2 linked regions of the Drosophila melanogaster genome follow. The protein of the gene in region 2 purifies or fractionates together with the protein of the main gene of each other region. This does not show direct contact. Each region holds a gene or a part of one and is shown on either strand. Other genes may lie near its edges.

Evidence for each region.
Region 1: the proteins of rib (region 2) and CG5003 purify together in Drosophila melanogaster (affinity purification with mass spectrometry, with the first as the bait; one large-scale study listed by BioGRID). This does not show direct contact.

The regions. Positions count from the first base shown.
Region 1 is NT_033777.3:27,911,842-27,920,688, reverse strand, and holds CG5003 (uncharacterized protein), read left to right. Parts: upstream 1-4,172; 5' UTR 4,173-4,260; coding exon 4,261-4,541; intron 4,542-4,626; coding exon 4,627-4,897; intron 4,898-4,955; coding exon 4,956-5,078; intron 5,079-5,131; coding exon 5,132-5,293; intron 5,294-5,346; coding exon 5,347-6,651; 3' UTR 6,652-6,912; downstream 6,913-8,847. Other genes in the region: CG12259 (uncharacterized protein), read left to right, coding at 1-774; Boh1 (buddy of Hmr 1), read left to right, coding at 1,406-2,431; mRpS22 (mitochondrial ribosomal protein S22), read right to left, coding at 2,506-3,687; mil (milkah), read right to left, coding at 7,028-7,207, 7,262-7,347, 7,407-7,635, 7,700-7,823, 7,889-8,121.
Region 2 is NT_033778.4:19,265,803-19,274,272, forward strand, and holds the start of rib (ribbon), read left to right. Parts: upstream 1-4,275; 5' UTR 4,276-4,984; intron 4,985-8,470.

The DNA.
Region 1 (8,847 bases), on a different chromosome or scaffold from region 2:
GAGGCCATTCAGGCGGAGAAGAACAAGCAGAAGCGGCAGATCCAGGCGCTGTCCTTCAACCTGGACGACGACGAGGAGGAGGAGGAGGAGGACGACGAGGATCACGATAAGAAACAGCTGAAGATTAAGCAGGAGGATCAGCCCAAGCCCAAGTGGACGGAGATCAAGGAAGACATTTTGCCCATAAAGAAGAAGAAGATATGCAAGAATCCTGACGTGGACACTTCCTTTCTGCCAGATCGCGAGCGCGAGGAGCAGGAGAACAGACTGCGCGAGCAGCTGCGTCAAGAATGGGTAATGCAGCAGGCGGAGCTGAAGGACGAGGACATCTCCATCACGTTCAGCTACTGGGATGGCTCCGGCCATCGGCGGAACGTGCTGATGAAGAAGGGCAACTCCATCTACCAGTTTCTGCAGAAGTGCCTGGAGCTGCTGCGCAAGGAGTTCATCGAACTGAAGACCGTAATGGCCGACCAGCTGATGTACGTCAAGGAGGATCTGATCCTGCCGCACCACTATTCCTTCTACGACTTTATCGTGACCAAGGCACGCGGCAAATCCGGCCCGCTCTTCCAGTTCGACGTCCACGACGATGTGCGCATGATAAGCGACGCCTCCGTGGAGAAGGAGGAGTCCCATGCCGGAAAGGTACTCCTCCGCTCCTGGTACGAGCGCAACAAGCACATCTTCCCAGCCAGCCGATGGGAGCCCTACGATCCCACCAAGTCCTACGACAAGTACACCATCAAGGACAAGGATAAGAGTAAAAAGTAGTGCTTAGGGCAGTTTCTGCCCGAATAATTGTACAATATAATAATGATTGATTTAATACATCAAAACAAACGAAAAATAACTACAATTTTTATTTGATTTTTCCACCAGATTTACAATCAGTTTAATTAAACTATTATAATAGGCATTGAATGAAATATAAAATATATAACAAATTTATGTTTGCTTAATACAATTTTGAATTCATTAGAAAATGTCATACTTCTCATAAGAATACCCCTAATTATTTAAAATGGCACTGTTAAGAGAACTTGTTGCTAAACAAATTTGGTAGAAATTTTAGTTTATAAACACAGTATAATCAGAGAACATGCAGTTATTCAGCACTTCGTATTGATTGCCATGAAAAAAGAACTGTTAGATTTATATTTTATTTTAATTTTTTAATATTCCAACTGTCATAATAGTCAAAAGAAGTCGGATATGGCGGGAAAAAAGCTAGCCCGCCAGCACCAATAGCAACATTGAATTTTTTGCGCCAGTAAAATTCGCGTCTTTTTATAAAAAGCAAGCGTAATTAATAACAAAAATAAAATAAGTTCCAAGTAAAATGTGAATTCATTTTTCGGATACGTATCGATTTAGTGCCATTTGAGAACCCCGAACCAACGAAATGTACCCGGCGCAACCGGCAAAGGTGGCGTTGGCCGGTCAACCGATATCCGCCGGAAAACCACCACGCCACAGCCCTGTTCAGATGAAGTCTATCCCTTTGCCCGTCTTCGAGCTGCCGGAATACGTGTGCGTGGAGACCAAGTGGGTGACACGCAAGTACGCGATAGAGAATGGCATTCCAGTGAAAGAACTGCATGCCCCGATCACCAATGGAGGCGCTACAGAGTCTCCCAAGAAATCCGTACAGCAGAAGAGACTCAACGAGGTCACTGGAATGTTTGCGAACGAGGCTATGGTGCCGCGCAGAGAGCGCGCCATTCAAACAGAGAATGCGGGCACTAAGGATGCGGGCATTCAATGCCGTCGCGATTCGGAGGAGTGGTATTTACCAGAGGAACGGCCAAAGGATACCGGTTCTGAGGCCTCCAATTCCGACAAATTTCTCACCTACGTGAGCGAGAACACATTCATATTTCCCAACGGCATGATGGAGTGCGCGGTGTGCGGCGATGTGGCCAAAACCTTGCTGGAGCACCAGAGCCACATGACCGCGCACTATGGACCTGGTGCTCTGTGCTTTCGCTGTGGTCAGCGTCTGGACCACCAGAAACAATTGAAGCAACACAGTCTGAGCTGTCCCGCTCTAGCGCCCAGGAAGTCATCGATGCTCTTTAAATGCCCACATCTACTCTGCAACGCCATGAGCCACTCAGAGATGCAGTTGCTCAGGCACCTGAGAAACCATAGCGGCAGGAAGTGCTACAGATGTCTTCAGTGCAAACGTTACTTCAAGACCACCACCTCTCTTTTGGTACACCGAAAAAAAGAACAGAGTTGTGCCAAGGCGAAAGTGGTCGTCCTATTTCGCGAACACAACGGGTTGCCCAATGGAAGAGGTGATCCCAGACGTTGCTCAGTTTGCTTGAAGCGTTTCAGCAGCGAGCGGGTATGCCTGCGGCACCGGAGACAGTGCATCCTTGGCCATTTTAGACGGCTGTCCAGGGTCCTCAAGAAGGAGCTATGAACAGCGTATAGAAATCTTGACCTAGCTGGTATTTATTAGTACATAGAAATCGATAACAATAAAGCGAATAGATCCTACGAAGCCTGGACGCCGTGAGCCTTTTTCAGTCCCTGGAACAGCATCAGTTTCTCCCGGTTAACTTCCTTAAGCGTCTGCACCGCCAGCTCCAGTTGCACCTTCTTCAGCGCATGTTCGCTGGCGATGTACTGCTCAATGAACTTCAGGCTGATCTCATCGGCGGCGAAATCGTGCTCCGTCTTGCCAATGGCCGTATGGATCTCCTGCTCAATGTTCTGCTTATTGTCATGTCGTCGGAAGACGCTTCTTAGCTCCGCCAGGGCACTTTCCGCCGGCGTGGCATGCAGTTTGCCCAGTTCGGTCAGCGTTGCCTGATACTCCACTGGGATGTTGTGTAGCTTGTAGCTCAGAGCAATCAGCTCCACGGCATTGTGCAGATAATCCCGACGGATCATGTCATACAGCAGGTCGTCGATGCAGCGGTGCCAAGCGTAGAAGAAGGCCATGGGTCCAAAGTGGCGGGTGGAGCGCAGAAGATCGAACTCCTTGGACTCGTTGAGATGCTCGAACACACGCGCTGAAATGTTGTGGAACTCCGGCTCATGTGGCTCGTACTGCACCAAGAGTCGATCCAGGATGAACTCGTACTTGTGCTCCGCCAAGCACTTGGCCAGCAGCTCCTCCAGCGCGAACATTCGTGGAGTATATGACTGGCGACCCTCCAGCGGGAAATACAACTGGTTCATGCGCTTCGTGGTATCAAGAGTGGCGTAGGCCAAGGTTCCGTCCATATCCCGGACGATTACCTTGCGTTCCGACTGCCGTCGGCCGAAGGTGATGTCCGTGAATACGAACTTGGAGTTGGCGAAGTCCTTCAGCGCCGTATCCTTGGCTATCACCCGCTCCACATCTTTTTTGATCTGCACAATGGGTGGCATTTGCAGAATTTGCTGAGCCCGCACCACCAAGTTCTGGAACTCGTTGTCCAGCTGCTCGTTGCTCATGAACTTCGTTTCGCTGCTGTTGTCCGGCACCGTGCGCTTCCGATACACCTTGTCCAAGTTCAGTTGCGTCATGGACTGGAGCAGCCGCTGGGTTTCGGCATCCGTGAAAAGCGGCTGCGGATCGCGCTCGTACTGCAGGGCGGCGGGCTTGGTGGGCGCCGAGGACACCTGCCGGATAGCTTGGCGCACTCCTTGGAGGCCATTCAGCTGGCGCAGGCTCCGCAGCAGGTGCATTTTCAGTCAGTAAATCAGGCACAAAAATACACGAGACGGGTGTAGAAATTAGTGAGGGCAGCACGGTGTTTTCCAACACTGCTTGCTAGTAATGACAACAGGAATCTTATTTAATTTAATGTGTTTATTCTATTTGTATAATAACTTTTTTAATGCACATGCACATGCGTAATGCGCCTTATTTTTAAATTTCATTCATAATATGCAATATTTGTTTGAAATAGGAAAATAGCAAAATAGGCAACTTTATTATCTACATAAGAATTAAACGATTATTAACTACTTGTTATTGTTCCCATTTTACCAGACGACTCAATTGTATAACTATGAGCAGCTAGTGCCACCGCCTTTAGTATCAAATCGTAATAATCAAGAAAAAAAATAATATAATAATAAAAACGACATTAAAAATTACCGGGAAATTCGGAAGCCAGTTTCATCTCTTCGACATAGGAATACCCCTACTAGCGGCTTATCTCGGGATCTGACTGCGGTCACACTTGACCAATTGCATTTAGCTGGAAAAAAAGCTGCTGGCGAAAATTGGCAATAAAGTGCAGGAGCAGCCCAAGCATGGAACAGGCCGAATTGGGCAGTACGTGCCTTGCAGCGCCTAAGCGCCGCTTCCCGGACAACGAACGTTGTGGGCGGGAGCTGGCCGCCGTGCCCGTGCAGCCAGTGCTGCCACAAATCCCTACCGAGGAGGAGCCGGAGATAAAACAGCGCAAAAGGGAGAAGGAGCATAAGGAATCCCTCGACCGGGAAACGGAGTGCAACCTCATGGACTTCTGTGATGAGCTGCTCTTCGAGATCTTCCAGTACCTGGACACGTCCTCCATTCTGGCGGTGATGCAGTAAGTAGTCCGCTATCAACAAAGATCTCTGCGTCGCTGAGATTTCCATGTCCTTTCCATATTATAACATTCCGTAATATTCCAGTTGCTCGCCGCGCTTTGAAAACCTCCTGCTGGATCACCGCTTCTATCATCACATAGACTTAAGCAACGGGCCCCTGCCTATGGGCATCCTAGAAGAGATTCTTGGACGAGCCACCGAAAAGACACACACCATTAAAATCTGCGGACCTCCGTCCTCGCAGCATGTTGCAGGCGAATTCCGCCAGTTCACCCAAACGCTAAGCTCCGTTTTCCCCAGGGTTGTACAGCTTAAAGTGCTGGAGCTGGAGGGCGTCAGCCTGGACTTCGAATACGTGAGTGCTGGCATCTCGCAAGTTTCCCTGGTCTACCCCAATTTTATCTTTTCTTCAGATACACATAACTGAGTTCCCGGCCACTCTGAGGCGTCTGAAGCTAAAGGACTGTAGCGTTAGGGTCGGCGACACGCCAAAAAGCATATTTTACTCCATAGAGCTGCATCTGCTTGATCTAGAGGTGAGTTTGAGCGAACGACAGTCCAATGAATAGCCTAACCCCGTCTTATTTAGGATCTCAGTATTGAGGACAACAGCTGGTTCGAGCCCTATTATATTATGGGCCTGTCGAAGTTACCTTCCTTGCGGCGTCTTAGTCTTAAGGGCTGTCAGGCGCTATGCAAGTTTGTGCCCTATGGCAGCATGGCGGCACGTTTCGGTTTCCAAAAACTAGAGGTTGGCATAGGTGCAATCGGCGAATATTCTTTATAAAGGGTTATTTATTTCAGTCACTAGATCTTCGCCAGACGCCCATCAACAACTCAGATCTGCAGTGTTTTAGCGCTATCGAGAATCTCAAGGAACTGCTGCTTGAGTCGCCACAGATCCTGCACTCCAAACAAGCCGTTGCTAAAAAAAATACCAACGGCAACGCCACTGACGAAGCTGCTTCCCCGCAGCCTGATTCACTGAAAGTGCTTAGCGATGACGAGCCGTCCACATCGCGGGCCGCCATGGAGCATCTGCGTGCATGCAAGGTTGCGTTCAATTTGGACAACTGCAGCGATAGAAAGGAGGAGAAGTCGCCGGTGCCAACTGAGCCTCCTTCGGAGGGTCAGGATCTTCAGGCGAAACGAATACGAGCACCATCAGAATCCGATGATGAGGACACATCATCCACCTCAGGGTCTTCGTCGGACAAATTGGAGGTTTTATCGTTGCCCAGAAATGGTCATAGCAACGCTGCACCTTTGAGCGGAGGCGTCGACTTGCCGCCACTTCCGCATGCAGCCGATGCAGCCAATGCAGCCGATGCACCAATTGCAGTTGATGCAGCCAATATCGAGGCTCCCGGGCAGAGTCCCGGCTTGGATCCTAGACCCCCGCGCGCTTACATCTACGTGCCCGACGCTGAGAACGCTAACCCGCGCCAACAGCGTAGTGTTGTGGCCGTATTTGCGCAGGGAACGGAGCAACGGTATATCTATGTCAATCAACAATTCTCACTCCCGATGAATGTTCTGATGCCGACGCGACGCCATCGTACGCATCCGCGTCCGAACTACGATCAGGTTGTTCAGCATCCGATGTTTTGGAACATGCTCGAGCCACTGGATCGCGACTATGCTCGACGAGTGCGCCCACGTCCGCCTTCCTGTCAGACAACACCTCAATACTATGTCACCGATCGGGCGATGTATAGCTTTGGCCGAGCTGATCGACCGGTGCAACCGGACGTTGTCTGGATCCGGAACATCAATCGCTCGCCAGACAATAAACTGGAGCGACTGTCGTTGCGAAACTACCATCTCATCACAAATCATACCCTGGAGCACCTGGTGCAGTGCTCTCCGAATCTGGTGTATATCGATGTTAGTGGCACCAGCATTACGCTTCCGGCAATTCGGCGCTTCAAGATCTCCAAACCGAAATGCGAAGTGGTCGCCAATCACTTGGAGGAGTTTGAAAGACTTCCGGAGCTGGAGACACAGGAAGAGGATGACACGGTGGTGGTGATGCTGCAGCCACCGCCGCGCGCCGACGACGAGCAGCCACCGAAATCGCCACCGCCACAGGAGGTGGTGGCTCCTTAGAATATTGTTTGTAAAGATTCCGTCGAAGTGGGCCGTGCTGGATTATTTTATTTTTTTTTAAGAAAAAAGACGACATGGCCAAGCCGATGGATCCACAACGCTGGCTACAAGCGAGTGCTGTAGCTCAGCCATCTAGTATTACGTTTGACTATTCGAGTCCTTGTAATATATACACGCCAGGCTAAACGCACTGTATAAATCAAAACCACAATTCAATTCCTTTAGCTAGGCATTAAAAAGAGCGCGCGAGATCCTTTTGGTAAATATGTATAATGAAATGTTTATTTGGTTGGTATGTAGTGGGTAAGGACAGGCCAATAGTTCGGTGACTCGAGTTAAAAATGTATGTAAACTGTATATAAGCGGTGTAAAATGTTTACTTGTCGACGCCATCCTCCTCTTCGGCATCCGACTCGTCCTCGGTATCTTCCGACTCGGTCTCCGATCCGCTGGAGCTCTGACAATCGGCAATCTCGCCGGTGAAGAAGATCACCGCCTTGGGAATCACGCGCTCCTTTAGATAGAAGCCCACCTCAAAATCGTTTTGCAGCATAGCCTGTGGGAGGAGATGCATGTGAAAGGATCGCAGATCGCTGATATTCAATCTTACATTGACGTCACAGTAGTTGGGGTCAAGGGTATCTTCTGGCAAAAGCGGCGGCGAGAAGAACTCAAAGAACGACGGCTCTTGATTTTCTGGTCAATGAGTGAATTCAACTAACATCTGTGAAATTTGATGCTCCCAGATGGCTTACCGGTTTTGGTCTGGTCCTTGGTCTGCTTCCAGTCGATGACGCAGCCTTCGCACTTGTAGATCTCGGCGCCATCATATGCGAGCGGATCGTCTGGATCCGGCAGGCAGTTGAGGAAATATGTCTTGGTCAGCACCGTGTTGGTAAAGTAATCATTGGGATCGAAGTGGAATTCGATATCAAACTTCACCACGGGTTCGTTGTACAGCCGAGAACGGATGTCGCTTAAGCACTGCGCGGGAAAAATTTCAATTAAAATTTAAATATCCTTCAAATCGGATCTATCCATAACATACCTCTAATATTTTCTCATCCCTCTTGCTGATGAACTCGGTGTACGATGCTTTGAGAACCCTCAGCCAAAAGTTGGGCACGCTCTGATTGGTTTCCACGTCGCCGTGGTTTTGCTTTCTAAACTCACTGCACCGATGGGATTTTTGGGGGAATTGAGATCTTGTTTAACCAAACACCATTAATGGACTTACTCTAGAATCTTCTTGCGCTTATCAAATATGATATTGTGCTTATCCTCGTACTTCTTCTCGATATTGTAAATGTCGCGCTGCAGAGCCACATCCAGGTTAATGGTCTCCAAATAGAGCTGCTTCAGTTCGGTAAGAGTTTTCTTCTCCTTCTCGGTGAAGTTTAAATCCGATTCCATCTTCGGTGGAGCGGTGTACTTCATCCGCGGAGGGTTTCGATTTCGCACAGTTTCCATTTATGTTTCGACACGATAATCAAAAGAAAAATAAAAAAAATATTTCTTGAAGTGATTTGGTTTTGTTCAAGTATAAAATTTGGACGTGTGCGTTTTCGCTGTGACTGCCGTTGTGGGAATGAAAAGTAGCTCTATCAGTTTCCCAAAACTCCCAGCACAAAAGGCAAGGCCCGCTTTTCACTAAAGTGCTGGAACTAACTAGATGTACTAGAAAATATTAAGCAATTTATTATTCTTTTTTTTTAAGCTACATTTTTAAACCCTCGTGTTATTGCTGTTTTAGTCACCCCTTTCGCCTTACTTTGCCCATTGAGATGCAGGCCATGTTTATTGGCAATTTAACGCACATTTAATTCCTGCTCTTTTCCTGTTTATATATTTTTGGTTTCCCCAAAATTTTTTGTTTGCTTCCGCCAACTTTTCATTTGGCATGTAATTAAGTGTGGGCCAAAAGCTTGGACTGGGTGCCGCCAGCCTGGCCTAAGTGTATGCAAATCACGTGCTGAGTGCTGTGCCGCCAAGGGTTCAGGTTCAGCCATTGCCATCGCCATCGCCATCGCCATCGCCTCCTGGAGTCTGTTAAATGGACCGTGGACCCAGTTTCTGGTCTATCCGAGAGTCGCTTGTCTTTTGTCGCTGGTTTTAATAATGTGGGCCAGGCTTAGTGCCATATGTCCGGCTGTGAAAAACAACAGAAAAAAGTGAAAAAAAAGAGTGAAATTGTCG
Region 2 (8,470 bases):
AGCACTTTGAAGGTTCGATGATCGCCGTGCTGTCGTGGCAATTATGCAATCTGAGGCGGCGTGGATAGCATTTGAATTCCGAATGCCACGATCGTAGCCAAAATCGTGATGTGGCTTCAGTTTTGTTGGCGTAGGGCCGCCGATCCCAAAAATGAAAAACAAAAAGTCGAAAAGTAGAAGAAAAACCACGCGATGCATGCAACAAATGCGTGAGTGTGCGTGTATCTGTGTATCTCTGCATCCACAAGTTCGAGTATCTTGTGTTTTTACCAATTTCCCCTTCTTCTGGGAAAGCCAAGATGGCGACCTCGCTATCGTCCCCCCCCCCCTCTTCACCCTCCCCCACCAATTGCAGGTTTTTCTTATGCTTACTTTGTTGTCGTTCTTCTTTGGCGTTTTTGTTGACATTACCGAAAATGCTTTATCGCACTGTCGCTGCAGTTGTTGCCGTCTCTTTCTCTGCACCTACACGCCTCTCTTTCGCGCATGCACATGTGCAACGCATTTTCCCGAAAATTAAATGCAACATTGCGCCGCCGCGACTCAATTGCGTGGTTAATGCTAATTATTTGTTATTCCACAGGCGAGAAGCGACGGAAAATGCAGGAAAACGGGAAAAACAGAAGTGGAAAACACACACATATTTTTGGAAGACACGCACATGGGACGTGCAATTGCTGGCGATTTCCGGCCGCACAGCGCCGAAAAAATAATAAAAACCGAAAATAGATAGAGCGGCGACTGTACCAGCGAGCACAGTTTAAATTGGCTATAATGACCTTCGGTGGTTAAATAAGTTCGTGTTTTAGAAACGACGTTCAGTAGCAGCAATTAAAGTTAAGTTTTGGCCAATAAGAATGCTTGTGGTTTGGAAACCAACAATGATCATTATTATTTTTACTTTTAAATGAACCCAAACATGTAAAATCTTTATCTTTTTGAATACATTTAAATGGCAAAAGAATAATTTCTAAACCCAATTAATTAATGTTAAAGACTTAGGAACTCAAAAAAAACCAAATTGACATGTTTCACAGACTTCGTTATAAATGCAAATAAAGCCACAAAGGGGTTAAACAGTTTGGCAATTGATCGACTCACGTTGTCATTAGACATTGAGCGATAGTATTGCCCTCGAGTGTGCTTGTGGCACTTTGATTGTAATTAATGGGCTGCAATATTTATCCAATGCGAGCGATCAGGGAAGACACTTGGTCTGCAATCTCCATGATCCCAAGATAATAATAATAATGGCCTGTCACTCAGAAAGCAACTGCAGCAGCCGAGATGTTCGCCTCTTCATTTTCAGCCAGCAGCAGACCAACAATCGTCTTTGTTGGTGGCATTGGACAATGGAGGACAATTTCTCGGCCACTTGTCAAAATAATTTGCGCCTGTCTTTGGGCCTCAAGATGCGGATACCTGCCGTGCAATTGTTGACTTAGTTGCACTCCCGAGTACGTGAAATGTGTGAGAAATTCTTGGACAAACTCGAGGAAACCAGCATCTACGGATCCGGAAAATAGAAGCCCGAGAAGGGTTAGACTAATATTGGCCGAACATGCGATTAATGCGATTATATGGCTGTATACCCGTTTTCCATTTGCCCCAAAACTGCTGCGACAAGTGATGGCGCAGTAAATTCCCAAAAAATTATCACCTGTGCACCCAAAGGGAAGCAATAGTTCAATAACCCAACAAAGAGCCACCAGAAGAATGACGAGAAATTGTGGCAGCAGCAGCGCACAAAGAGCTGGGAATATCCCGATCCTATAGACGAAGGACTATGCACCATGGGCGAAGGACAAACCAAAACGAATGCCCAAATCGATTGCTGCTCCTGTTGCAAGAAGAGGCGGGGGCCACTGCCACAGCCGCATCCACATGCAACAGGATGCTCGCACACGCACAAATGCGGGATGAAATCCCCGAATGCCTGAAAATCCCTGGGAAAAGTTAACTTTTTGATTCGATCGAGAGAATAATAAGGGGCGCAGACGTAGAATCACACGATAAAGTCACACGGACGGAGTAAAAAGGAAAATCGGTGAAAAAGGGAACATGTTGCAAGTCAGGATCGCAGTTGCAATCGCAGCTGATCGTGTGTTCAGCAGGTTGCATCAATTGGGGGAAAGGACCTGAGGGCTAATGATAGTGTCGAACAAAGGACTAAATTGGCTCTGCAATTCCATGGGAATCCCTTTCTTTGCCATCTTATATACGTAATTCTTTATGCGCAGAGCTGGTTCATATCTTTACTAGATCGTTAGATCAGACAAGCCTCTATGAAGTGCTAACTTTTCAAAAAGCTTTGCTTCGCAAAATTCTAATGTCAGTAAAGCTGACTAGATACTTTGCATAGAAAAGCTTACATATATACATAAGAGAAGCAAATTCATCGGAATTTGTTTATTGCCAAAATTTTAGTAACAGAAAGAAATCTCTTCTGCTCTATTATTGTGCAAAGCTTAATGAATAAACAATTTATAAAAGCTTTCTCTTGCAGAATGTTATAATACTAATCGCACTAGACTTTCGTAAACTATGTTAAATTTATTCAAGGTTATGGTAACAATGGTTTAGTGATCTTATCACGCACTTAATATTGAATAAAAACAGGAAATTATCAGTAATTCATATACCAGAAAAAGAAACATGTAAGCAGTTATATATTTTAAAAAGTTGGCAATAATGGATCGATTAGCTTTATACGAAATCGTATAACCACTCTTTAAATAAAGGTAAGTTTTAAGAAGTTATCGAAAAACTAAATGCTATATGTAATGTTTCCAGATCTTAAACGTCATTACCAAGACCACAACAAGTCTTATAGCTCCCGATCTTTCCAGAAAGCTCTTCTGCGTGGCTGGTGAATTCTCCCGGTTAGATTCTTTCGCCCAGTAAGCTCCGCGCATTCGTGTTCTATTCCCCAACTAAGAACCACGTGTCTGGCGATTCTTTAAATCACCTCAAAGCGACAAAACACGACGTCAAGACAGCTTTTGACTTTTTGCGCAAAAATGGCGATACGCGATGTGCCAAAAATAAGCAAAAGCCCGCTCACCTATACTTGCGACAAAGCAGCGCACACACACTTGGCGAAAAGCTTTCGTTTTGCTCTTTTTGTTGTGTGCAAAAATGCTCTCTGATTGGTCGGCTTGCGAATTTCGGGGGAATTCGCGAGTCGCAAAAGCGAATCGAAAGCTTGCACAATTTGCCGAGCGGCAACCGAAGACCCTCGGCTCCACTTCGGTCACCATCGGTTCCAAAGAGCGAGGGAGCGAGAGCATCTGACTGTTTACGCGAAATTGTTATTGTTTGCAACTAGTTTTTGCGTTGTTTTTTTACGCTTTTTGTTGTTTTTTGCCGGCATTTTGCTCTTGAATTTTTGTTTTCGCTGCGAAATTCAAGTTCAAGTTTAGGGACGGCGGGAATGTTGTTATTGTTACTCAATTCTGGCGTGCTTTCGCACCAAAGTGTGTGTGTAAACGTATCTATGTGAGTGGGATTTGGGTTTGGGCTGTGGTTCTGTTGACGCAACTTGTTGCTTTCACGTCTGGGGTAAAATATTTAAAGGGCTTCCTTTACCTTTAAATCCATCAGATACTTCCACCACTTATCTATCTGAGAGATAGAAATAGATAGATAGATAGCTCATTTTTAAGATTCTGACTTCATAATATCTTTTTTTTTGCATTTACTAAATGGTTCTACACTTTAAATAGAACAACAATTCTGCGCTCATTGGTTAGCAAGGCTTTTCACTGTAATTGTCATTGAGCGATCCGTCCTTCCGCATTTTCACGTAGCCGCTTTTTGACCCTGGCCCACCGAATTTGTTTTCGTGGTAAACAACAAACTCAACTCGAGAACCAAAACCATACACGCACGCACACACACACACATACCAATATAGATTACAAAAATTTGCGCCGCATTTTGCTGTAAACAAAAATTGTGTAATAATCAAGAGTGACCCTGAAAAGCGCTTCACAGATAAACAAGCGGCCAACTGGCGGGTTATTTTTTTATTTGTCGATTGTTGTTTTCGACTCATGACTGTGTTGATATATTTGCAAAATTCTTACGTGGGCCCAAGGGCCGATGATAATTCTATGCTCGACGAAAGAGCTTTCCCCCCTCCAGAGGCCCAAATTTATATTTATTTTTTTTTCGCTAGTTTGGGAACTTTGCTTTTTTGCTCAATTTGTGAGTCAGTGGCATTATGTACTAGTATATTATGTACAGTCGAAGCTTTTTTTCTACACACACGCCATTTTTGCGGAGCTCTCTCTCTGCAGTCGAGAATCGGCGAAAGAATTAAAAAACAGATTCAGTCGGCTATACAGTCCCCACTCAGAAACAGAGAAACCGAGAAGCCCAGTTCCACTCGCAGTCCCTTTGGTAAACGCCTGAACTCAAGGTCAGTGCTCGTACCGCCGCAGAAGTTTGGCGGTCTGTCCAGAACTTACAGCAGAGCGACACATGTAAATCGCCGCTGCCAACCCTGCCCCGCCCTTCGAGATACACGAACTAACAGATACACAGATACACGGTTATATGTGCCCATCCGAATGCTTGTGAATACTGAAACACTTCCGAGAATCAGTTGTATTGCCCTTTTTTCATACTATTTTTTTCGTTGTTTAGTAACTTTGCGTCATTTTGCCATTCGAAGGCAAAGAGTTCACTTCGATCCAAGCCAAAAAAAAAACCAAAGAAAACTGCAGTGAAATATAGTGAAAATCGAAGCAAACACACAATAATGCCGGTTAAAATGTTGGCTGACTTAGGACCAGTGAAAACGTGGCCAGACTATGTGCGAAAATGTGAATCGAATTATGGTTAGAATCGGCGTTCTGATCAGCCAGCAGATACATTTGTAAAACGTGTTCTACGCACTCAACAAACCCCGAAAAACGTCGCTGGATCTTGCAGATACTATATGTACATGGAGTGAATAAAACAACAGCGGAAAAACAAGGTAAGTACAACACAGACGTATTCTATGGAGGGCGGTTTCGCCCCCACCTTCCCTTGCCATGTGACCATGGCCGTATAAATTCGAACAAAAATTCACAACGCTCGACTTGAAATTTCCCTCAAATTGCTAAAAATAAAATAACGCATTTGTGCGTGCGTTTGTGTGCGAGCGTGTTTTTGGTGAAAACATCGTGGAAAATGCACCCCATGCGCCGCTCGAAAAATGCTAGCCTGTACTTAACGGGGGCGTGGTCGTCGGCTTTCCATTTCCCGAATTTCCACATGTTCATTGAGCGGCAAACTGCAACTGCAACCGCCACACTCGAGTGGCGCTGGCGGCACAAATGGCATGGCTCGCTATTTATAGCCAACGCATTCGTATCTGCGCGCTTCATGGAGAGCATATGTACTTTTGTATCTATATCTATGCATATGCATATCTACGGCCGGATCTGCAACGACTTTGTCATATCTACATATACATATAAATAAATATGTACATATGTACGTGAAGGGACTGTCGCCCGGGAAACGCGATTTGAGTTACATACAAACGATCATTGCAAACATCAGTTTTATATCTGACGCCATACGCCCCATAGAAATAAAGTCTTTAGCACACAGAAAAAATTTAATTTACGCACTGTTTTTATGTGTCAACAACTCAATTTTGACTTTTCTCACAAGCAAAACTAAAGAAAACATATATTCTTAGAGAATTATGGGGTATTTAATATATATAATATATATGTAATTCGTAAATTACACTAAAAGGTTTGTCAATAAACTTTTCTCTCACTGTAAAGATTATATCTTTGTATCTGCGCCAGCGAAAACGATCACAAAATGGCCGACCCATGCAAAGTTGCAGTTGCACTGGTAGCCCCCCATCGCCACTTCCCCCACACACTTTGCACACATGCACAGATGTATCTGTATCTTGTTTGCCTTCTCCCGCTCTTCACCCAGCTCCCCCTGTGCCGCTCTTCCCCTCTTTTCCTGTTTCGCCTTCTTTCTGTTTGCTTTCGCCTAATTTTTCGTGCCTTTTTTACACAATTCTCGTTTAAATGTTGCCTTTTGCTTTGCTATCTGTCGGCCCTGTAAATGTATCTGTATCTGTGTGTTGTATGCTATGCTCTCGTATCTGTGAGTGCGTTGCAAAAGTGCAATGACCCATTCGTAGTCCGCCCCCCACCCTCCCCCCGACCATAACCCCGCCAGCGGACCCACCAACACCACCATCGCTCTACGAAGTCGCGGTCTACGTGCCACTTTCCTTAGTTGCAGCGAATGACGCGCGCGATAAATTTCCAGCGTTTTCGTTTCTCCGCTGCTTCGTATTTGTCTAATTTTCCCTCTCTCCGTTGAATTTTTTCGTGGTCTTCTTGTTGCATTTTTTTTTATTAATTTCCCCGGGCTGCAGTTTTTGTTTGTTTTTCGACTGTTGCTCTACCCACACACAGGAAAGTACACTCGAAAAAATGTAAATTTTGAAATAACTCTTTTTCTGGAAGCTGAAACATAAACTTACGATTAAAAATACAACTTTCCGAAGATATATTTTAAAAACCCTACTTTTCTCTGAGTGTAGTGTGTATCTTCTAGATAGTATTCGTATTTTTGCCCTTCCGCCGCGTGAGTTTTGTGTAAACACTGGGTGGAAAGGGGAGAGATATCTCAAAATTTTCGCCTCCATTAGCACACGAGTGCGAGCGGCGATCTTTATGGCAGGTCCTGCCGATCCTGTCGCTGAACCAAACTCTGCAGGCTGCCCATTGTCCATCGTAGGCGGCGGCTCCTGTTTTTTTCTTTGAGCCACGCTAATTGCCATTTGTGTTGGAGAGAATTTTCACGTGCCGCTGCTACTTCAAAGATGCTCTAAGAGGCGACACTTCAGCAACTGAAAAAGTCTCAAGAATCTAAGCATCTCGTTCGAAAGATGCCCAGGTAAAAGCAAAAGATACGAGGGCTAAAGGTAAAGGGTTGGCCTGGGAAAAGCCGGAAAAACGCAACCTCGATGCGTTTGTGCGTGTGTGTTCTTTTTTTCGCATTCATTTTTTACTTTGCATGACAAATGCTGCTATCAAGTCCAGACATTGATTGAAACCCAAAGCAAGGCTTTTCCTGGAAAATCCGCTTCTTCCTTTTTTCGCATGCAAATATTTTTCACGATAGTCGCTCAATGGTAATGACCAAGAAGCAAAGGGTTAGGCATCGTAAAACGCTGGTCCACATTTCCTTCGAACTATTTTGGCACATTTTTGCGAAAAGCCATAAACCCATAAATCTCAGACGAAACCCTTTCGCTAACGCCATAAAAATCTTCGAGCAGGTCAAAGGTTTCGAATCCACTGGTTTTTATTGCCATATGCTGACCAGCCAAACAAAGAGCTGATAATACTAATCGCGAAAATGCGTAGATGGAAAAACATTTGTCGTGCAGTTTGCAAACACAAATACGAAATGCAAATTCAGATTCAAATTCATATTTATGCTGAGAGTGCAAACTCAGAGGTGATAAGAAGCACTTTAGAACAATGCCATTTTGAGCAGATGACTGCAAATTAGTGCTGCTCGATGAACAAAGAATTACTTGATTGTTAAATCATGTCAGGGCCTTTCTTTTTTGCTAGGATCCACACATGTCCAACGAGCAGGTAGTCAACAGGATACAAGGATACTAGCAGTTCATTAAGAGTCCTTCGCTTCATTGAGCGAATGTCTTGCGGTTGGATTATGTGCGGATTTCTCCCTGCTAATCCCCCATAATAAGCGGTATTGGCTTTGAGCTGGGAAAACGTCTTTATCTCCGGTATTAGCCACATTCTCAGCAGTTAGTCAAAAAGTCAGCAAAGTCAACACTGACCAGAGGATAATCCATTTAAGGAAATTCTCTGTGATCGACACATGTTGAGTTTCGTGGAGTTTCCTCGAACTAACTAAGCATCTTTATAGGTTTTTAATTTATTAATTAAGCTAACAAATAAATAAATCATCAAAATGTAACTTAAGGTCATTAAAATCAAAAACAACTCTTTTACGTAATAATTTAAGAACCTGCAAAACTAAACGATTTCAAAGTGTAGGTTTATTATATTGTTGATTTTTGCCATTTAGTATAGCTACTATTTTATTTTCTTTATTTTTCACTTATATTTTTCTTATAAAGATGCAATATTTCGTTAGTCCGGCATATTACAGCCTCTTGGAATTCATATTTTACACTTTCACTGGGACATTGACAGGCGCTGGGGGTAATGATGATAAGATTACAAGTGTGGAAAGGGGTCGGGGCTCATATATGGAAGCATTGTAGTTAAAAAGAGTAAAGCCCCGGGGCTCTTGTCCATAAATGCTCGAGTCCAGATTATGGAGTCCGAGTTGCGGCAACTTTTCCGCTTTTTTATGCCCGTACTTACACACACATTTCTTGCACTATCAGCTTTGAGCCGAATTCCGCGGGGGCGGGGGGAGGTGAATGCACTTG